4 linked regions of the Caenorhabditis elegans genome follow. The protein of the gene in region 3 interacts with the protein of the main gene of each other region in a biochemical or structural test. Each region holds a gene or a part of one and is shown on either strand. Other genes may lie near its edges.

Region 1 (4,781 bases), 2.4 Mb from region 3:
ATCTTTCTTGTAGATTTTTAAACTTTCGGAAAAGCAATCGTAGAAAAGTGCAAAAAGTTGATTGTTCAGTTTGAGCTTTTCCATTCAGGCTCTCCGAGCATTTGACAAGCCGCGCGAGCTCCGCTGGTAACTCACTGTTTTTCTAATATCCAATCGCGCACCGCTGCGCCAATCTCTGTTCATTTCGTCGTTTGCCAGCTCAACTAATAGTCGGGACAGCACCCACTTCATATAACTTATTGACACGACTATAATTTGTCATTTTGCTTCTCCAATCCATCTCATGAAATATGTGTGTCGTGGCGTCAAGTTGGCATATGCAATGAGGTGATGGCTCTCTAACTCTTGTGCAATACAGCTGGTGCGCACTGACTCAACCTTCTCTTTTTTGACATTTTACATTAGGAAAATGCCAATCAGAAAGTGTAATGGTACACAATATGTGACCTATAGTCGGTTTTAGTTTATTTTACGCCGAAAATACGGTACCCGGTCTCGACACGACAAACTGTTGTTAAATGCGAAAAGGGTTGCGCCTTTAAGGAGTACTGTAATTTCAAACTTTCGTTGCTCAAGAATTTTCATTGAATTTTCATAGCGTTCCCCACATATATGTATTTAACAAAACATTTTCGTATCGTATTTTTGGAAAAACGCAAAATTCCGCGTCTGATTTTAAATCACAAACCGACAATAAGGTTTTCCGAATCCAAGAAAAATTGAATTTTCCCCAAAAAGTAGAGCAATTTATTTTCAAGTCTTTCCTGTTTTTTTACAAATCCATCCCAGCACAACTCGGTGTTCTTCCAAAAACTCGTCTCCTCCAACATGCTCATTATAATGGATCATCATCTTCTCTAGAGGATCCTCTGTGTGACTTCTCCACTTGACAAATTGCCCAAGTGGAAATAAAATAGGCACATTTGGAAATCCTTGGTGAGCACTGAGAGAGAAAATAGAGTAGAGAGAATCCAAAAATGTAATTGGATAACCACCTTCCTCCCGTTCTGTCTTCCAGAAATGTCCTCCCATTTTCCCAGCAAAGGTTTCATTGTTTGTTTTGATATCAAAAATTCATTTATTATTTAGCTATGCGATGAGCAATGCGATGACTGCGAATTCAGTTTTAAGGCCGCTTTTTCTTAAATAAAATTTAAAAAAATTTGTAGACTTGTGAAATTGAGAAATACAGTAATCATTTTTCGGAACAGATGGGTACGGTACGCATTCGCGGCGAGACCTATCGCATGGCGGGAAATTTTTTTTGAAAATTAAAATCTGCAAAAACTTCAAATTTTTAGATTGTCTATTGATTTATGTGCGATATTTTGAGTTTTTTCTCATTCCGTCAACTAATTCTCGTCCAGAAGATCAATTAAGCTATTCAGATCTTGAAAACACGAAAAAATCCGATTGAAATCGGAAATCGGGCCGATTTTTTTCAGAATATTGTTTTTCGAGCTGAATTTGTCTGCGCAAAAACAAAACTTAAAACGCTGAATTTTTTGTATTACAGATTTGAAAACTCAAGAATAAAATCACTAAAAAGCTAATTTTTGTATCCTTTTAAAATTGGCGCGGGCAATTCGGACAAATTTTTAAGATTTTAATGTTTTCCCGCTAAATTCAAACTTTTTTCCATCGCTGAGCACACTAAATCATTTGCTCTTTCTCTCTTACTGTTACTTACTTCACAGACACACCAATCATTTTCTTATCACTCTAATATATATTTTCTTGCAGATAGAAAAGGTCTCGCAGAGCAAATAGGTGCGAAACGAGAGAGCCTCTCGGGAGGAGAAACGTTGATTGGTTTGTTAAAACTTCTTTTCATTTCATTTAATTTTTCTTTATATCTGCTCATTTTCAGATCGATCATCATGTCGGCTTCATCCACGTCATCATCTAGCACATCGTGTCCGGAAGGTGGCGAACCATCGGGAAGCTGTAAAAGCAGCGACGAGGGTGAATCGACACTGAAAAAACGAATGCAACAGTACGGAATTGCGAGTGGTTACGCGAATTCCTCAATATCTACACTTGATAGAGTGCGGAAGTTTTTTTTTCTTAAAAATTGGAGAAAAAATCTTGAATTATCTTTCATTCACGCTTCAGAAATCTTCAATTCAAACTGTCAACAGTTCTACCCGATTTTTGTTTCAAAAAAATGCTTGAACTGCTGAGAATTCCATTTCTGCAAATTTTCATACTGCAAAAATGCGCATTTTAAAATGATTTTGTAAATTCAAATTTTTAAGTCAAAATCCGAATTTTGTACACATTCTATTTTTGAGTTGGAAAGTTTAAGATCCTTTTCAAATTTGAAATTTCTGGCTTTTTCGATTATAACACCGAAATCTGGAATTATTTTTTACTTTAAAAAATGTGAAATCCATTGAATATTTGAAACCTTGGTTGTAATTTATAATTATAAGCAATATTTTAATTTTTCAGAGCCAATATCAATCGCTTCCACTGAATGGAACTCGCCGAGTCACTGTTCAATTTGGACGAATGAAAATTGTGGTACCATGGAAGGAATCGGTGAGCTTTTTTTTCAAATGTTCAATCAATTTTTTAATATTTTTCTTGTTCAGGATCAGACAGTTGGTCAACTAGCAGACGCAGCACTTCTTCGGTACAAAAAAGCGAGGGGAATGGTAATTTTTTTTCTCCAAAAATTTGCAGAAAAAAGGTCATTTTGGAGGCAAAAAAGCGTATCCCAAATTTTCCCATGAATACAGTCAGTCGGGAATAATGAAAGGAAAATCAACAAGAAGCACGCAATTTTATCTTCGTCTTATTCTCTTCCAATATTATTCCATTCCCGAAGAAGCAGCAGCCCCCTTTCGTTTTCTCGGAGAGGTTAATTCGGCTGAGAACAAGGCCGCACCGATGAGGATGTGTTGAATACCATTTCTCTGTTCATTTTCACCAAATAATCCCCTTCCTTTTCCGCTTTGGAGAAAAAGAAAGTTTGGAAGAGACGCAGACAGTGTTACAGTGTGTTGTTGGCACACAACACTGTAAATAATAGATATTTCTTCATTCTCTCTCATAAGTGACTGTCAAAAAGTTTTACTATTTTGTGGAGTTGAACTGTGGTGCTCTTGGATTTTTATTTAGTTACTCCTGATCTTCTCACTTTAAACATTAAGACTTAGTGGTTATCATCCCAATTTATATTTACTAAGCAGTAAAACATTTATCTTGATTGAATATCCAATGATCGCTTCATTTTCTTGAAAATCTCTACAAATTGAAGGCAATTTTCTCCTCTTGGACCACCAACCATAACTAGCGAATCCTAGCCAAAGAGGGATTAATTTCCAAAATGGATTCTGGTCGAATTTGACTTTAATCGGCGTACGCTGTGCGGCATGGAAATTCCGGAGGCCGTCGCCTCGTCCCGATTGGATTTTGCAATTTGCAATAAACGGATTGATTTCGACGCGCTTGGTAGATTTTTGTTTATATAACATGCATTGGTCTCTCACCATGTTCACTTCATGGCGGATTTTGTACGAATCTCTTCCCCCTCATCATCATCGTCGTCGATCATCATGCTTCCTGTTCGCGCAGGTTGTAGCATTCGTTTCGCAGTAAATTAAGTTTTCCGCTGTAGGCAGGCAGTTGATCTAAATAAATCTGATAAGAATTTATTCGAAGGCTTAAGATTTGTTATCTCTCTCTCTCTCTCTCTCTCAGTTTTGTTGATTTAGATTTATTTGACGTTGAGGACGATATAATCATTATCAGCAGCAACAACCAACTTGAAATTAATCAAATGGAATGTATAGTTGGACGTTGTGTAATAGGAGTACGAGTAGAAAGTGTGAGTCAATTGCAGAAATTAGTGTTTTGTTAGGAAGTTGGGCGCCAGTTTTAAACCCGCCGCCTACACTTTTGATATTACGATGAGCACGGTTCAAAGGCAGGAGTTTTTTTTTCAGCCGTATCAGACTTTATAAATTTTCCATTTACTAATTTGATCCAGTTTTTATGGTCATGTAACATGTAAAGCTGTGTTTAGTCCCAGCCGAAAAGAAAATTGAACAGAACTCAAAGTTTTCGTGTGACTAAAAAAATATGGTGAGTCACCTTGGAATGTTTTTGTTCGGTTTTGAATTTCAATTCAAAAATTGTGAACAACTTTGGCGTTATTCATAATTGTGGAAGTTTTGAATTTCAGTTGAAAAATGAAAATTGTGATGTGAAAACCTTGAATTATTGTTCCTTTCAAACTTATTGTATTTGACTCCAAAGGCCTCCGAATAGCTCCAGAACATGTGAATTGGCAGCACTTAAAGTTGTTCATCTATCTCTATCTCTCTCTCCTCGCCATCATCGTGAAATAAAGCACCCCCTATTCTACATGCAATGTCATAACACTCATATCTCATGTTATCGCCATCCTCCGCTGCCACTACGAATCATCTGTTCTGAAAGCAGCTTTTTTTCGGGTGGTTTTTGTATTTTTCTTTACTGATAAACAGCTTGTGTTGTTGTTGTTCGCGACGAGAACAAATATCATGGACATTTTACCAACTATTGAGAAGATAAGAAGAAATGGTTAGGAATGATGTGTATATAGACATCTTCCCCTTTCTATCTCTCTTCCCTTCTCTTCCGAGTGTTTCTGTTTCTATTTGTCGTTCGATCTGATGATTGTCGTCATTTTTTCTCAGCCGCTCCTCTTCTTGATGCCCTTGCGCAACCCCACCGTGGCTTACTTGTTGGGGGGTCTTGGAGCGAAGAGCACACATAAATGATATGAGTCA
Region 2 (7,821 bases), 2.1 Mb from region 3:
ATTTGTAATTCCATTTTCCGTGACTCTGGTCTCAATCCGAGACAAATGTGTCCGATTTGAAGAGCCATAGAATAATATTCATTGACATATTTTTCGTTTTCCTGTGCCCATATTCCAAAATCAACGAGAGCAGATTTCCCATTCGATGATTTTGTGACAGTCTGATGTTCTTCTGGGACATTAAGATCTTTGTACATGTTAGAAAGTTCTTCGTCAGACAGAAGTTTGTCACAGTCGACGTCCCAGATTCGTGCCAACTCTAAAACAACTTTTTAGTTTCTCAAAATAATTTCTTAAAAACTCACGAGAAATTCTCCCTGGTAGAGGTCCACGACAAAGAGCCGAAAGTGTACAAACGAGCTCTCTGAAGTCAATTTGACCATCTCGATTCTCATCGAAAACAGCGAATAATCTCTCAGCATAACTATCCGGGAAGCATCCACCCAATGCTTGTTTCCACTTCTCTTCATTCAGTTTGCAGACAGCTCGATCACTGATCGTGGCGAACACTTTCTCTAACTCGATAACCTCGTTCACGGATACTGAAAAATGGTTTTTGAAATACGGAAATCAAGATAATTTAAATCTTACAATGCGTCACATAAGACATCACTTCGTAAAATGAGATATAGGAATCATTGAGCGGAATCGTAAGCTTAGGAGGACTCAATCCCCATGACGCGAACTCGTGATATTCTTCGATAAACCCTGAAAATAAATAATTTAATATTATTTCTGAAATGTTTCTTGACTGACTCGATTGTACTTCTTCTACTCTACACAATCCAACAAGAGATGAAAGCAAATTGTCAAAGGAAATGGTTTCAGCGCCATGAGAGAAGAAGCTGAACAGCAGGCGTCGTTTTTCTTCTGGTATCTGCGCGCCTCCGAGAACATGATAGCAGAATTCCTTAAATGGTGAAGTTAAAAAAATAATTAAAAACAGTTACGTCATAATTAATGCATCCATTTTTGAAGCGTTGGAAAGCTTGGCGAATTCGTCGATACTCCTCGTCCGATACTAAAAATTTGAGTTTATGTTTGTTTTGTAACATCCCTGAAACTCACTATAAGTTTTAGCATCTTCCGCACTGATAATCGGTGCGATAGCGTTCGAACGTCCAGTTAACGTGTTACCCATTTCGGATTATGGCATTTGAGCATCTGAACCAGATTTTCTTGCCGAATCTGAAAGAAAAAATGTAAAAATCAATTTATTTGAAAAGAAAAGCATTTGTAAAAGTTTTTCAGTGGAGACCGACTTTAGAACGATTATGGAAAACAGTTTATTCCAATAAACCCCACGAAAAAACACGAATTGCGGGAAAAAATAAAAGACTTGTCGAGAACTGTCAAAAACCCTCGCGCAGTGAGACAGTGTGTGAACTTAAGAGACGCAGGGTGTATAATGCAAACTCGCTCTGTTGCGATTTCAGAATCACTTCGAAAAAATTTTTGCATTCGAAATCATTTCGCTCATTTTTTCATCTCGAGTTTGGTTGTAGAAGTTGTTCTCCCATTTTTTGTGTTATTCTTGCACATTTTCAGTCATAAATATGTACCTGTAACCTGATCAATCAATCAATGTCCGTCTAGTCGCATTAGCGTGCAATTTGAGTGTAGAGTAATTCCGATTTGGAAATCCTAAAGTACATTTTCAAGTAAATGCTATCTTTTTGGTTGTATGAAAACTTGTGACAGCTCTTAGCAGAATGTTCATGACAACCGCCTTTCATTCACTGCAAATTATTACTTGCTCATCGCTTCATCTATAACCGTCTCATCAATTGCAAGTTTCAGCTAAATGTTCGGCCAGAACAAATCATTCGGCTCATCGAGTTTTGGCGGTGGCAGCTCTGGGAGCGGTCTATTTGGACAAAACAACCAGAACAATCAAAACAAAGGATTGTTTGGTCAGCCAGCCAATAACAGTGGAACTACTGGCCTTTTCGGGGCGGCACAGAACAAGCCGGCAGGATCAATCTTCGGAGCGGCCAGCAACACTTCCAGCATATTCGGTATTTTGATCAATAATTGTATGCGTTTGATTTATTTTAATATTTTAGGAAGTCCGCAGCAGCCTCAGAACAACCAGAGTTCATTGTTCGGTGGAGGGCAGAACAATGCCAACAGAAGTATCTTTGGGTCAACTTCTTCAGCAGCTCCCGCAAGCAGTTCCCTATTCGGTAACAACGCTAACAATACTGGAACCAGCAGCATTTTTGGTTCCAATAATAATGCACCATCTGGTGGAGGTCTCTTTGGAGGTAAACAATTGATTTTCGATAAATAAATTAATCTTGTATCAGCTTCAGCATCGACCGTATCTGGAACCACTGTTAAGTTTGAGCCACCGATCAGTTCTGATACTATGATGAGAAATGGGACAACTCAGACAATTTCCACGAAGCACATGTGCATTTCTGCAATGTCGAAGTACGATGGAAAGAGTATTGAAGAGCTCCGAGTGGAGGATTACATTGCAAATAGAAAGGCTCCCGGAACAGGAACGACTTCCACTGGCGGTGGGCTTTTTGGAGCATCCAACACAACAAACCAAGCTGGAAGCAGTGGGCTTTTTGGATCAAGTAATGCTCAACAGAAGACTTCTCTGTTCGGGGGAGCTTCGACGTCATCTCCATTTGGTGGGAACACGAGCACAGCAAACACTGGAAGTTCATTGTTCGGTAACAACAACGCCAACACGTCTGCTGCAAGTGGATCTCTTTTCGGAGCTAAACCAGCGGGCTCGTCACTGTTCGGATCTACAGGTAAGAATAAATCTAGCATCAACACAATTTTTAACCTTAAACTTAGCTACAACAGGAGCTTCAACATTCGGTCAGACAACTGGATCGTCTCTTTTCGGCAATCAACAACCACAGACGAATACTGGTGGATCGTTGTTCGGGAATACACAGAATCAAAATCAATCTGGGTCCCTGTTCGGCAACACGGGGACGACTGGTACCGGACTCTTCGGCCAAGCTCAGCAACAACCACAGCAACAATCGAGTGGATTCAGTTTCGGAGGTGCCCCAGCGGTGAGTTAAGATATCCTAGAATTTCAATATTTTATTAATTTTCAGGCGACAAATGCTTTCGGTCAGCCGGCTGCTGCAAACACCGGTGGAAGTCTCTTCGGAAATACTTCGACAGCCAATACTGGCAGTTCGTTATTTGGTGCGAAGCCTGCAACAAGTACCGGCTTCACATTTGGAGCCACTCAGCCAACAACTACAAATGCCTTCGGTTCCACAAATACCGGAGGTGGATTGTTTGGAAACAATGCAGCAAAGCCAGGTGGTTTGTTCGGAAATACGACGAATACTGGAACAGGCGGCGGTCTCTTTGGTTCCCAGCCACAAGCTTCTTCAGGAGGACTGTTTGGTTCAAACACTCAAGCTACACAGCCGTTGAATACTGGATTCGGAAATCTTGCTCAACCGCAAATTGTAATGCAACAACAAGTGGCCCCGGTACCTGTGATTGGCGTTACGGCTGATGTCCTCCAGATGCAAGCAAACATGAAGTCATTGAAGTCGCAGTTGACAAATGCGCCGTATGGTGATTCACCACTACTCAAATACAATGCGAATCCAGAAATTGATGGGAAGTCTTCGCCGGCTAGTACTCAACGACAGCTGAGATTCCTTGCTGCGAAGAAAGGCGCTCTGTCATCGTCTTCTGATGCACAAGATTCGTCGTTTATCATTCCACCAATCAGCAAAGTGATGAGTGATCTTTCTCCAGCAGTTACCAGGTCAGCCGATGTCACCAAAGATTTGAACTACACTTCCAAAGAAGCGCCACCATCACTTGCTCGCGGACTTCGAAACAGCACATTCAATCCGAATATGTCGCTGACAAATCGAAGTGTTCACGAATCAAGTGCCCTCGACAAAACTATCGACTCAGCTCTGGATGCTTCCATGAATGGAACTTCAAATCGTCTTGGAGTTCGTGGATCCGTGAGAAGATCGAATTTGAAGCAGTTGGACATGTCTCTGCTCGCAGATTCTTCGAGAGTTGGAAGAGAATCCCGTGTAGCTGATCCAGATGCTCTTCCTCGAATCTCTGAATCCGAAAGACGTCAAGACGTTGTCACTTCCACTCCAGCAGTTGACCCCGTTCAGGCTGTAATCCAGAGACATAATGACAGAAATAGAGATCCACCATCGTTGAACTTGGATACGACATGCGATGAGCACACTGGCTTGGAGCCGGTGTCTGCTGCAACTAGTTCAGCAGCATCTGTTGTGTCGACGCCTTCTGAAGAAACTGTTAATGTCAATTCGGCAGCAGGAGTGAAGCTTACAAAGCCCGACTACTTTTCTCTTCCGACAATCAATGAGATGAAGAACATGATCAAGAACGGACGTGTTGTGTTGGAGGATGGATTGACAGTTGGAAGATCGTCGTACGGAAGTGTCTACTGGCCAGGACGAGTCGAGCTGAAAGATGTTGCTCTCGACGAGATTGTTGTATTTCGTCATCGCGAGGTGACGGTTTATCCGAATGAAGAAGAGAAAGCTCCAGAAGGTCAAGAACTGAATAGGCCAGCAGAAGTGACACTCGAAAGAGTATGGTACACTGATAAGAAGACCAAGAAAGAAGTGCGAGATGTCGTGAAACTCTCCGAGATTGGTTGGCGCGAGCATCTCGAGAGACAAACGATTCGGATGGGAGCCGCATTCAAAGATTTTCGTGCAGAAACTGGAAGCTGGGTCTTCCGTGTGGACCATTTCAGCAAGTATGGATTGGCCGACGATGATGAGCCAATGGATGGGTCCCCTCCACAGCAAGCACTACAGGCATCTTCTCCATTACAAGTGGTAAATTTTTAAAACTCATTTTACCCTTTTACACAAATAGTTTTCCAGATCGACATGAATACATCTGCTCGAGACGTGAACAATCAAGTGCAAAGAAAGAAGGTGCACAAGGCAACGGATGCTCACCATCAAGAGGTCCGTTTTGAATGATTGTCACTCACTATAATTCAATCATCACCGTATTTTAATTTTCCTTCTAAACGTTTTGCTGTTTCATTTAAAAATTTTCTGCTTTCATTCTTAGCATTTCACATGACTGCTTGCCAATACCATCTAGGGCAGGCTAAAGACTCAAATTATTCTCGTTTATTCTTTTCTAACTCAATAAATTTGTTTTTAAAATTAGCCTCTTCAAATGGTATTGGTAGACAGACCGTTTAGGGTTTAATATGGAGAGCCATCAGCAGTTATTTGTTTCAGATAATTCTGGAACGAGTTCCGGCACCTGCTGCATTAGGTGATGTTGTGCCGATCATTCGTCGTGTTAACCGAAAAGGTCTTGGTGGTGGAACATTGGATGATAGTCGAGAAGAATCATGCATCGGAAATATGACCACCGAATTCAATGAAAGTGGTCATGATTCAATTATTGAAGAAGGTCAGCAGCCGGAAAAGAAGCCGAAACTTGAACTTCTCGCTGATTTGGAATACGAAAGCAGTCGATTCATTCGCAATCTCCAGGAACTGAAAGTCATGCCGAAGGCCAACGACCCAGCTCATCGGTTCCACGGTGGTGGACACTCTGCTAAAATGATTGGATATGGAAAGAGCAAACTGATTGATATAGGAATTGTGAAGGGAAGAAGTTCACATGTCGGATGGAGTGAAACTGGATGTCTTGTGTGGTCAGCTCAACCCCGACACAATCAAGTACTCTTTGGGACAATTGATAGAACATCGGACGTGAATGAGGTAATATTTGTGACTTTATAAAAGCCCTTCTGTGATTTACAGTCTATTTGTCAATTGGATTTCTAAGTACTTTTTTACACCGTTCTCTTCTATGGCCCATTTTTAATTTAATCAATTTTCAGAACACGCTAATCTCAATGCTTGATGTGAATGTTCATGTATCTGAAACCAGTCGCAAGGGTCCATCTTCACAATCCAACTCGGTTAAATCTTCGCTCACTTCTAACTTCGTCACTTATTCTGACTCATATTCATCCATGTTTGCCAAGTACATCGATGTCGCTCAAGCTGGTGGATATGATGGACATGTTTCTGTTTGGAAGTTGATATCTGCTCTATTCCCATATGAACGTCGAGAAGGATGGTCTTTCGAGCGTGGTGAAGAAATTGGAGAATGGCTTAGAACAGAAGCAGTGAAGTCTGTTCCAGACGATAGAAGTGCGGATACATCTTCAAATGGTGTTTGGAATCAACTCTGTCTTGGAGACATCGATAAAGCTTTTCAAATTGCGATTGATAATAATCAGCCACAGCTTGCTACGATGCTTCAGACTTCTGCTGTGTGCCCAGAAGCTACTGTTCATTGCTTTAAAGCACAACTTGACAACTGGAAGAAATGCGAAACTCTTCATTTGATTCCGAAGGAAACTCTCAAATGCTATGTTCTGATGTCAGGACTATCACACTACGAATGGGATCAAGACGGAAAGAATCATTCGATCAACTGTCTTGATGGACTCAATTGGATTCAAGCACTCGGTTTGCATGTCTGGTATCTTCGTGCATGGACTGGTCTAGAAGAATCTTACGATGCTTATCAGAAAGATGTCAATGCTGGCCGTGCCGCTTCTAATCGTGGAGATCTGCCCGGAGAACTCATCAAATTGGCATGTGAATCACAGCACTCAGTGGAAGTTGTACTTGACTGTGCAGCTGGAGAAAATCCCAACGATTATTTCCTTCAATGGCACGTATGGAGCTTGCTCTATTCGGTTGGATACCGTACAATGTCAAAGACTTCGGAAACAAGACTTCACAGAAACTATTCATCTCAATTGGAAGCATCAAGTCTCTCAAAATATGCATTGTTTGTTTTGCAGCACATTGATGATGATGAAGAGTGAGTTGAATTTTAGAATCTTTCAATTTATAAATATATTTATCCAGAAGATCAACAGCAGTTCGTTCCCTCCTCGACCGTATTGCTCGTTTCACCGACAATGATATGTTTGATTCTATTTCCGAACAGTTCGATATTCCTTCGGAATGGATTGCTGATGCTCAATTCTCAATTGCAAAGTCAGTCGATGATTCTACCCAACTTTTCGAATTGGCTGTGGCTGCAAAGAACTATCTGGAAATTTGTCGCTTATTTGTGGATGATATTGCACCAACTGCAGTTGTAGCTGGAGATCATGACGCTCTCAAAGCAGCATGCGCGATGGTTCGTCCTTTCGAAAATCAGATTCCCGAGTGGGGTGCGACTGGAATGGTCTACACTGATTATTGCCGATTGATCAATTTGATCGAAAATGATGCGGAAGAAGAACTCTTACAGGACGTGCTTGAAAGTCTGGAAACTCGTCTACATGCTCCTACAATCAGCAAGAACAGTCTTCAAAAGTAAGCTATTGGGACATAAGTTTTTTTTAAAACTATTTATATAATTTCAGGCTCTCTCTTCAAACAATTGGACGTGTTTTGTTCGAGTACCGTGCTGATAAGAATACACTTCCAGAGTGGACAAAGCTTCTCGGACATCGGCAAATGTTTAAGATCTTCCGTGATCGTTCGTCTTGGGGAATCGAAAGATTCACAATTGAATTTGACTAGACTAGCCACTTTTTAATTTATTCATTTTTCACCTGATTCTAATTTTATTTTTTTTATTTACATTTTCCTGCCCTCTCCGTCTGTCTTCCTCGTATATCATCATTTCCCGAATCGTCTTTTTATTACTATGAATATGAACTTTTTGTAGGATGTTATTACTGTTGTGTTCTATTCACATGAGAAAACTAGTACAGAAATTTAGAAATCAGCAAAACGATAAATTGAGTACTCGAATTTAATT
Region 3 (5,151 bases):
AAGAAAATTTACTTTTTTAAGGGATTTCTATCACGGATGTGTGGAATTAAACAGGTATAGTTTGACTCGATCTTTGCAATAAACTAGAAATTTTTTCATTTAGAAAATGAATAAATACAACTGTCGTGGGAAATATCAAGAGACCAATGACCAGAATTTAATGCAAGATTCAGGATATTCACTGAAAATTATAAGCTCTGGTGATGAACAGGTTTTTAAATTGAAAATAATCACATTCCTCATAATATTTTAATTAAATCATAAATTTTTAGATTACAATTGTATATACAAGTCGACTAGGAAAAATGAAAGATCTCCAAGTTCCGGAGATTGAAATTTCAGGAGTTCTTTTGGAAAGATTGGAAGCTTGTAATTATAGGCTTGACGAGCTTTTTATAGACTTGGTAGTTAAAAAATTAATCTGAATTCCGCGTATTTTGATATTTCAGAAAGCAAGCAAATGTATTTGTAGTTCGAATGAGCTTTTGAACATTCCAAAAATCATCGTTAGAAGGCTTTTTCTAAAAATGGAATCTCTGGAAATGTTGGAGTGGTGGATTGAAAGAGTTGATCCGAACTCTCTAAATGAGCTGTGTATTGCTCCTCATGGAGAATATCCACTTGATATTCCGTCCAAGATATTTGATCTTCCACATGTAAGTATGTTTATTTTTGAATATTTTTGGTACAATACATTTTCAGTTCCAAAATTGCAAAACACTGAGTATTATGGAGCACTGTTCTTTCTCAACCGACCAATTTCTAGCATTGTGTATTGCAATTCCAAATTTTTCTTTTTATTCGGACAGAATTGATGAAAATATAGTTGCTCATGCGATAAAGGTATTGAAAATCATCATGGAATGAAGAATTGTTATTTTTCAGAAACGTCTCAGCTTAAATGATCAATTTGTTGTCCTAGAATGGTTTTTCACTAAACACGTGAATGTTGAAAAAGTCACAGGAGATTTGAAGTGTACGAATTATGATAGAAAGTGAGCAGAAAACTGATGTTAGGCAAACTAGAATTAATTTCAGAGAGCGCTTTGATGTCAAAACTGAGTGCTTCGAGCCAGTTGATGTATACAGTGTTCCAGATGAGAATAACAAGAAAACGTCCTTGCTGGTTTTGAAAGATTCAACTGACAATTTCAAACCGTATAACATTGTTGCGTTTTCATAATTTTATGTTTTGAGATGCCGTCTTGGAAATATAGTGTTTTTGAAGCTAAATATCCTATCTCATGTATTAAATAAAATTGTTATAGTATCTCTTTCCATCCATTTTAATCGTCAAAGAAAGGCGTGTAAACCACGAAAACTTACCACTAATCCAAAAAGAGAAGCTGCCTTCTCTCCAAATGACGGTAAGACGTGGAAGACACGTGGTAAAAATGTATTACGTACGCCATAAAATATACGTATTAATCCATTTAAAATTAATTTTTCTTTTATTAACATCTGGCATCGTTTAACACACGTGCAAATGTTCTGTTACAAGCCCAAAAAGGTTCGTTGCTAATTTTTAAAACATTAATGTACAAAATTATTGCAGAAAGTACATTGAATAATAAATTTTTCAATTTTTAAAACCGTTTTTTAAATCAATGTCTCCGTGATATTTATGTTTGACCAGAAAATGTTTGATCGATGACAGCGCGCTGTTTTGTTTAGCACCCTTTTTCATCGGCGCGTAAATCGACACACGGTTCGCTGCGAGACCTGCGCCCGCCAAGCATCAACATTCGAATTTGCCGTCCGCCATTTTCGTCCTAAAATGACTTTTACCGATTCTTTTTCAAGTTTCCAGCTCGCCTCTTGTCATTTTTAGAAATAAAAACGTTTATTCAATTATTAATACTGAATATTTTAATTTTTGTGTTGCATTTCAGATGAATCGACTTCCCAACATTGCAAAACCCCCACAAAAGTCCAACCAAAGAAAGGAGAAGGCTCCACCAGAGGTTCCCGCTCTCATCGCCGACAAGGATCGTGGGACCTATTATGAGAAAGGACGATTTTTGGGCAAGGGAGGATTCGCTCACTGTTATGAGCTTACGAATCGAGCAACACGCGAGGTTGTCGCTGGAAAAGTGGTTCCGAAGTCGATGCTCGTCAAGCAATACCAGAGAGATAAGGTAGACAATGAACGAATCTTAGTTCAGTGCATATTACGATTTTTCAGATGACACAAGAGGTGCAGATTCATCGAGAGCTTGGACACATCAATATCGTGAAGTTATTCAACTTCTTCGAGGACAATCTCAACGTGTATATCACTTTGGAGTTATGTGCAAGACGGTCGCTGATGGAGTTGCACAAAAGAAGAAAGGCGGTCACCGAACCTGAAGCTCGTTATTTCACTCATCAAATTGTGGATGGCGTGCTGTATTTGCATGATCTGAACATCATTCATCGTGATATGAAGCTTGGAAATCTTTTCCTCAATGATGATCTAGTTGTCAAAATTGGAGATTTCGGATTAGCAACAACGGTCAACGGTGATGAGAGAAAGAAAACGTTGTGTGGAACGCCAAACTACATAGCTCCGGAGGTTTTGAACAAAGCTGGACACTCATTTGAAGTTGACATTTGGGCAGTTGGATGCATTCTGTACATTCTTCTTTTCGGACAACCACCATTCGAGTCTAAATCGCTTGAAGAGACATACTCACGCATTCGCCACAACAACTACACCATTCCGTCGATCGCAACACAACCAGCAGCAAGCCTAATCCGCAAGATGCTTGATCCTGAGCCAACACGTCGTCCGACTGCCAAGCAGGTAATTTCAATAGTTTTGAACTGGAGTGAAAATCATTTTAGTATTATCGGAGATTCGAGTTTCATCATTAGAAAATTTGTACTTTTGAATTTTATCGTGAACTTTTATTGAGAGATAGTTCACGTTCAGTTTGATTGCCCTTCGTTCTAATTAGTAAAGAGATCGAAAACAATTTTTAAAAAATCAGTTCGAATATTTAAATAAGTTATGAAATCTCTTCAACTCGGAATGAAAACCCTACAGGTTCAACGCGATGGCTTCTTCAAGTCAGGATTCATGCCGACTAGACTTCCAGTCTCCTGCCTCACTATGGTGCCAAAGTTCGGAGGACACGAAACTTCGATGATGGAGGAAAATGTTGCTCCAAGAGGGGTTGATGCTCGTTCACAACGCCCATTGAACGGAAGAGCTGGATTGTCTGCCCTCCCACAACACATCGTGTCGAACAATGCCGATCGTGAGCGTGCTCAACAACAAGCTGCAGAGGCGACTTTCCGGGAGCCCGAGGATGCATACCTTTCACAACTTTTCCACCAAGTTGCTGTGCTCTTAGAGCAGCGTATTCCAGGGGTAAGAATAAACAAGAGGTTTTTTTTAAATTAAAAGTTTGTTACAGCTGGAAGAAGAAGAAGCTGCTCTTGATGGTTATCAATCACCAGAGTGCCTCCCGGTTTTCTGGATTTCGAAATGGGTTGACTATTCGGACAAGTATGGCATCGGATATCAACTATGTGACAATTCCGTCGGAGTTCTCTTCAATGACAATTCTCGTATCATGCTTGATCAAGCTGGAAACGAGTTGACCTATATTGAGAAGAGCAACAAAGAGCACTACTTCTCGATGCACTCAGGTGAAATGCCTGGATTGCTCAACAAGAAAGTCACATTGCTTAAGTATTTTCGATCCTACATGAATGACCATTTGGTGAAAGCTGGAGAAGGATCTGAACAAAGAGCTGGTGATGACTTGGCTCGTTTACCAACGCTTCGAGTTTGGTTCAGAACCAAATCAGCAATTGTTTTGCACCTTTCCAATGGAACTGTTCAGATAAATTTCTTCAATGTAAGCAAATTCATAATTTAATGGAAACACCCAACAATATAATTTTCAGGATCATGTCAAGATGATGATGTGCCCATTAATGCAAGCAGTTACATTCATCGATCAAAACAAGCGTATGCTCACCTACAAGCTGAACAATCTTCAGCGCAATGGATGTCCAGAGGTTTGAATCGCCATTTCAGTATCAACAAATATAACGTATAATTTACAGAAATTCCTTCACCGACTGAAGTATGCGAAGACAATGATCGAAAGGTTGATGAGCGATGCTAACGTTGTATCCCAGAATCCAGCTCGTCAACCGGATATGCCACGGTCAATGGCAGCTGCTCGTTCAGCTTCGGCAGGATCACGAGGACCAAATCAAGCTGCATCGCACCTTCCCCAGTCGGCAAGTGGATCCAATATTCACCCACGTCGATAGATCCGTATGTGCTCTTTGCCACTTCCATGAATTTGCTTACATCTCCTGATTAATTCCAAGAAGTATTATTCTATACATTTAACCCGTACTCTTCATTTATTGTTGCTGTTTTTCATCGACCCTTTTAGTCCCATGTTTCAGCATCCAACATGTCTTTATTCCCCGTCCTCGATCTCCCGTAGCTCATTTCATTGTAAATACTGATGAGACCCGCTGTAGCCCTTTTTCATTCGTTTGTATTCATGGGCGAGGCGATTTTTATTTTGCGTTTTTATTTCTTTTTGCTAATTGAATCATCTTTTTTTGGTATTAGTCCCACGAAATAAAACGTACCGATGATTATTAAACTGTATTCTTCATTTTTCCAAACTTTCTCGACAATTTCATTTTTGGTAGATAGCAGCACATTGGGAAAAATCAAGTTGAGCTGCTCATCTGCCTCAACTTTCCATTTCAGAATTTTCGAAAAAGCGTGTATAATATTTACTGATTCCGAGACAATTATTTGAACATGATTGTTACAAAGATCACGGTCGCAAAGTAACAAATGTTCTGTTTAATTACTTGCCACTCTGAACAGTTTCCGTCACTTATTTTATATCCAAACAGGTTCGATTCCAAATAGTCTCAAATTATGCCAATGGGATCTGCTTTACTGTAACAGTTGGACATAAACTGTTATATGAAATCAAAAATACAATAGTTTAAATTGTTTTTGCTCTCTGCTTGAATTTTGGATTTCTAGAGATCTAGAGCAGAGCTGAGCAGCCGGCCAAAAAAATCGGCGATCGCCGATGAAATTTTTTTTTCGGCGATCGCCGATCACAAATTGCCAAAAAAAAATCGGCGATCGCCAATTGCCGATTGCCGATCAGTGTG
Region 4 (4,138 bases), on a different chromosome or scaffold from region 3:
GAGGGGGGCACAGAAGGATCACATCCAATTAGGATTGAATGAATGCTGTCGTACACACAAGAAAGTGGAATGGAACGATGAGTAGAATAAAAAAAGAAAAATGATGGAAAGGGATGCACTTGGGACACATTGCCGAAAAAAAAACGAATCGTTGCTATAATGTTCTTCCGCTAGTCTTCATAGATCCCGTTGCCAGGTGACCTCGTCTCCAAAAACTTTCTTAAATTTCGAAATCGGAGAATGTGTACTCCACGAGAAGAAGAGTGTGCGAAAATTGCAAATTTTGCAACCTCCGCACGGTTATGAGAATGAGAGCTCAATGAACCTTGCGGAGGTTGCAAAATCTGCAAGTTCCGCACGGTTATGTGGGTGTGGCCAATACCATCGTTTTCTATTCTCAATTTCTGTTATTACGTGGTAGTCTAAAGATGAAAGTTTTCGGGTCTCACCACGCTGAAATTGGGTTACTGTAACTGGACCAATATTGTGCCATTTTTAATATTATATTCAAATTCTTGACAGCAATTTTCGATTAAATCTGAAAATTATGATACTATGCTACCCGTAAATGGAGACGAGTTACAGTAACTCGGCGTGGCGAGACCTAAGATTTTACGAAATTTTCCCAATTTTGACGTCTACGTAATAATTCCCTCTATCCCAAAATTTGTTTTGTAACAGTACGGAAATTGTAATTTCCGTACGGTTTTATGGGAATCACAGTTTGAAAGTTTCAGTTCAAAAATCAAAATCTCATCTTCTAAGAGGCGGGGCGAAAACACCAAATTTGACGCGCAAGTTTGACTACATCATCAGGTCGCCACTTCTGCTCCAGTCAGAACCAACCACATTTTCTGAAAATAAATTACATCCGGTTCGGTCCGAAAACTAATATTAAATACAATTTTCATTCAATTCATCATCTTTTGGTTTTTTTTCTTTCTCATTTTGACCAACCCGCAAATATTATACGACACAGGGGGCTATATAGTCGTGCGCGACGAAACATTTTTCTTTCCCAAAAAAGGAATGAATTCTCATTTTATTTGATGAAGAGGCGGGAAGAAGCTCTCCGAACGTTGTGCTCTGTGTGGTCAACAAAAAAAGGTCGACGACACAGAAAAGGAATTTAATTAAATGGGGGACCCCGTCGTCGTGCATTTCTCAATTTTCTCCGTTTTTTTTTGCAATTAAAACGAGGAGGAGTGAGAAGAAACGAGTGGTGCTCGTTGAAATTTGAAAACGAAAATTAGACGAGGGAGTAGGTCAAAGGGAAATAAAAACAAAAACATCTGAAATGTGTAATTAAATTTCTAGAATTTTTTAGAATTCAATATTTTATGGATAGGTATGTACTATAGGGGTCGGCGGTATTATACAGTAACCCATACACGAATTTCACTTTTTTCAGTGTCTAGTGTTGAAGAAAAAAAATCAAAGTTCAAACAGAAAATCGACTTCATCAAAATTACAAAACATCCGATCAGAGAAAAAAAATTTTCTCTTTATTTCCCGCAGAAAACCTCCCAGCAAACTTTCACCACAAAAACCCTATTTTAAACTCCCTCCATTTTCAAGTCCGCAATTGCGCGTAGCTTTGCGTGTTTTGTCGTTGCGGACTTTGATTTTTCAAACAAAAATGTTTTTTCTTGGAACTTTTCGAACCTGTTTTCCACTTTAAAAAAGCGGTATTTTTCAATTCTTTCTTTATTTTAAATTTGAAAAACTTGTTTATTGCTTAAATTTTTAATTAAAAAGCATTTTATTTCGAAATTCAGGCCATGTTCTCGCATCTTAACCAAAATACATCCGGAAGGCATAACTCAATGGATCTCAACAATTCTAGTATTTCAAAGTGAGTAATTTGTTTCTTATTTTGCAAAAAAAAAACCAGTTTTTAATACTAAAAATCTAATTTTAGCTTCGGGACACCAGTTGAACAGTCTACGCCGGCACTTCTTTTCGGAAAGCGAAAGGCAACTGTTCCATCTTCGTGTAAGTAAAGTTTATCTTAAGTTTTCTCAAAAATATGATAATTATTTAGACACCGCTAGCCCGCTCAACACTGCATCGGCACCATGTTCGGATATTTTCGCTGTTTCTGCACCGGCAGTGCCGCAGCATTTGAAGGATACACCGGGCTCTAAATCAGTTCATTGGTCTCCATCTTTGGTGCAATCTGGTGAAAAGTCGGCGGCACAAACACAGAATACACCTGCCAACTTGTCTTTCGGAGGAAATTCATCATTTTCGGCGCCGACAAAGCCAGCTCCTCAGTCGATTCAGACATCATCTTTCGGTGGTCAAGCGATGCATGGTTAGAATTTACATTTTTTCGCGAATATTTAAAATAAAATTGATTTTCAGCACCACCTCTTCGATCTCTTCGCGACAAAGTTGAACCAGCGAAAAAGATCTCCAGACGAAATACATTCACTGCCAGATCAACACCACTTTCCACTCCAATCACTCAACGAGTCACATCCAGGTTGGCTGAAGCAGAAGAACAACCAATGGAAGAAGAAGCCGACGCAGCTGATACCTGGGTCACTGTTTTTGGATTTCAGCCAAGCCAAGTGTCGATTTTGTTGAATTTATTCTCGCGGCACGGGGAAGTAGTTAGTCATCAGACTCCATCAAAAGGAAACTTCATACATATGCGCTATTCGTGTGTCACACACGCTCAACAAGCTATTTCTCGAAACGGAACTCTCCTCGATCAGGATACATTTATTGGAGTCGTTCAGTGCACAAATAAGGTAAGTAAAAAGGATATATTTATTTTTTATTTTAATTTTAAAATTTACAGGACGTGATCAACGGCTCAGCATCCGGAATTGTTGCTCGATCATCTAACATTGCTGCAGCTGCAAACCGATCTGCTTCCATGTATAACTCATTTGTGGAGAACGATATGGCCGATCAATCAGTTAATCACAATGAGAACAGTGTGCTCAACTCGTCGAATGTTTTTGATGCAAATAACTCGCTCAAGTATGATTAGAAATTTTTAGTAAAAAATTCATAAAAATCTAAATTTTATACTTGAATCTGCTAAAGCGAAGTTTGTAGTTTGTAGTCTAGCGCTACTCCACTTTGAAAATGTGAAAAAGAAAAAGTTAATTTTTCACAATTCAATTAATATTTCCACAAAAAATTGTTTATGTTTTCAGTTCTTCTCGTATTTCCGTCCGTTCTGGTGTCGGAATGAGACCATTGGCTGCCGATCAAAGAACAAACGTAAGCATTTCATTGATTCAATCCTTCTAACCAATTAAAAAAGATTTTACAGGGAACCCCATCGGTTCGCAAGGCACCTGACGGATTGCTCAACAAGTTCTGGAACACGATCGGACTCAACTAATCTTTTTGCTCATTGGAAATATCGCCCATTTTTCTGTTTTATTTCACCATTTTTTTCTTTTGTTGTGTATCCTTCTTTTTCGAATTTCTGAAAACAGTTTCGTTTCTCACGGTTTTTCGTTCTCAAAATAATTTTATTTATTTCGGTGTATTCTCAATTTTCGGACATTTTTCCTTCCCTTCTTCCCGTCCATTCCATTCCCATTCAAAACTGATTCTATGAATTGAAATGAAGAAAACTCATATTTTTATATTGTCGATTATAGAAGACGAGTTGCTAATACTCGAAAAAAATATTTTTTCAAAAAATGAGGCTTTATTGACTGAAAAACATCGATTAAACAAATTCACTTCTATGAGTTTAAAGAAGGGCGCATTATTGCAGAATGGTCTCGGCACGAATGACATTGAAAATTGTGTGTGGGTGTGTGCCTTTAAAAATACTGTAGAGATTCTTTTATCGATTTTTCTCATTTTCTTCAATTTTTAATTTCAGAAAATTATTTACAATCGATGAAGTTTTTTTTAAATTTAATTTTTTTTATAAAATTTAATTTTAAAAAACCCGTTAAAAAAAAATTATTCAAATAATTCTTTCAGTTCCCAATGAATCTTCCCCCAGACGCCCTCCACGAAAATGTGTACGCATTTGCTCTTGCACGAGATCAAGTCGAATCATATTGTAATCAATGCCTTACGAGTATGGCAGAACTCAAAAAGTGCAGCGCCTGCCGACGGCTTGCTTATTGCTCACAAGAATGTCAAAGAGCTGACT

What was found.
Region 1: of the proteins of plk-1 (region 3) and par-3, one has a biochemical effect on the other in vitro, tested with the Caenorhabditis elegans proteins (one study listed by BioGRID).
Region 2: the proteins of plk-1 (region 3) and npp-10 form a complex in vitro, tested with the Caenorhabditis elegans proteins (one study listed by BioGRID).
Region 4: of the proteins of plk-1 (region 3) and npp-19, one has a biochemical effect on the other in vitro, tested with the Caenorhabditis elegans proteins (one study listed by BioGRID).

Annotation. Positions count from the first base shown.
Region 1 is NC_003281.10:5,662,492-5,667,272, forward strand, and holds the start of par-3 (PDZ domain-containing protein), read left to right. Parts: upstream 1-1,741; 5' UTR 1,742-1,812; intron 1,813-1,870; 5' UTR 1,871-1,880; coding exon 1,881-2,048; intron 2,049-2,454; coding exon 2,455-2,544; intron 2,545-2,597; coding exon 2,598-2,660; intron 2,661-4,781. UniProt on the Caenorhabditis elegans protein: In cooperation with pkc-3, required for establishing cell polarity and regulating spindle orientation in the early embryo. Localization is crucial for recruiting par-6 and pkc-3 to the peripheral apical cortex and restricting par-2 to basolateral surfaces.
Region 2 is NC_003281.10:6,013,532-6,021,352, reverse strand, and holds the start of npp-10 (Nuclear pore complex protein Nup98), read left to right. Parts: upstream 1-1,790; 5' UTR 1,791-1,804; coding exon 1,805-2,018; intron 2,019-2,066; coding exon 2,067-2,267; intron 2,268-2,309; coding exon of another isoform or gene 2,310-2,315; coding exon 2,316-2,771; intron 2,772-2,817; coding exon 2,818-3,044; intron 3,045-3,089; coding exon 3,090-4,835; intron 4,836-4,883; coding exon 4,884-4,970; coding exon of another isoform or gene 4,971-4,985; exon of another isoform or gene 4,986-5,180; intron 5,181-5,255; coding exon 5,256-5,747; intron 5,748-5,869; coding exon 5,870-6,867; intron 6,868-6,914; coding exon 6,915-7,370; intron 7,371-7,420; coding exon 7,421-7,580; 3' UTR 7,581-7,821. Other genes in the region: Ubiquitin carboxyl-terminal hydrolase cyk-3, read right to left, coding at 1-259, 306-542, 592-708, 757-910, 951-1,021, 1,069-1,141. UniProt on the Caenorhabditis elegans protein: Nup98 and Nup96 play a role in the bidirectional transport across the nucleoporin complex (NPC). Required for the nuclear import of hcp-4 during mitotic prophase, this step is essential for centrosome assembly and resolution.
Region 3 is NC_003281.10:8,099,456-8,104,606, forward strand, and holds plk-1 (Serine/threonine-protein kinase plk-1), read left to right. Parts: upstream 1-1,892; coding exon 1,893-2,138; intron 2,139-2,185; coding exon 2,186-2,785; intron 2,786-3,028; coding exon 3,029-3,355; intron 3,356-3,401; coding exon 3,402-3,848; intron 3,849-3,897; coding exon 3,898-4,011; intron 4,012-4,059; coding exon 4,060-4,272; 3' UTR 4,273-4,614; downstream 4,615-5,151. Other genes in the region: K06H7.1 (uncharacterized protein), read left to right, coding at 22-54, 104-211, 273-404, 450-656, 703-843, 886-995, 1,039-1,183. UniProt on the Caenorhabditis elegans protein: Required for oocyte nuclear envelope breakdown before entry of oocyte into spermatheca. In meiotic cells, required for spindle dynamics and probably for spindle attachment to the chromosomes. Zygotic role in the development of the germline and nerve cord.
Region 4 is NC_003280.10:10,796,120-10,800,257, reverse strand, and holds npp-19 (Nucleoporin NUP35), read left to right. Parts: upstream 1-1,778; 5' UTR 1,779-1,781; coding exon 1,782-1,855; intron 1,856-1,921; coding exon 1,922-1,995; intron 1,996-2,044; coding exon 2,045-2,317; intron 2,318-2,367; coding exon 2,368-2,759; intron 2,760-2,809; coding exon 2,810-2,994; intron 2,995-3,173; coding exon 3,174-3,240; intron 3,241-3,283; coding exon 3,284-3,364; 3' UTR 3,365-3,605; downstream 3,606-4,138. Other genes in the region: set-14 (SET domain-containing protein 14), read left to right, coding at 3,970-4,138.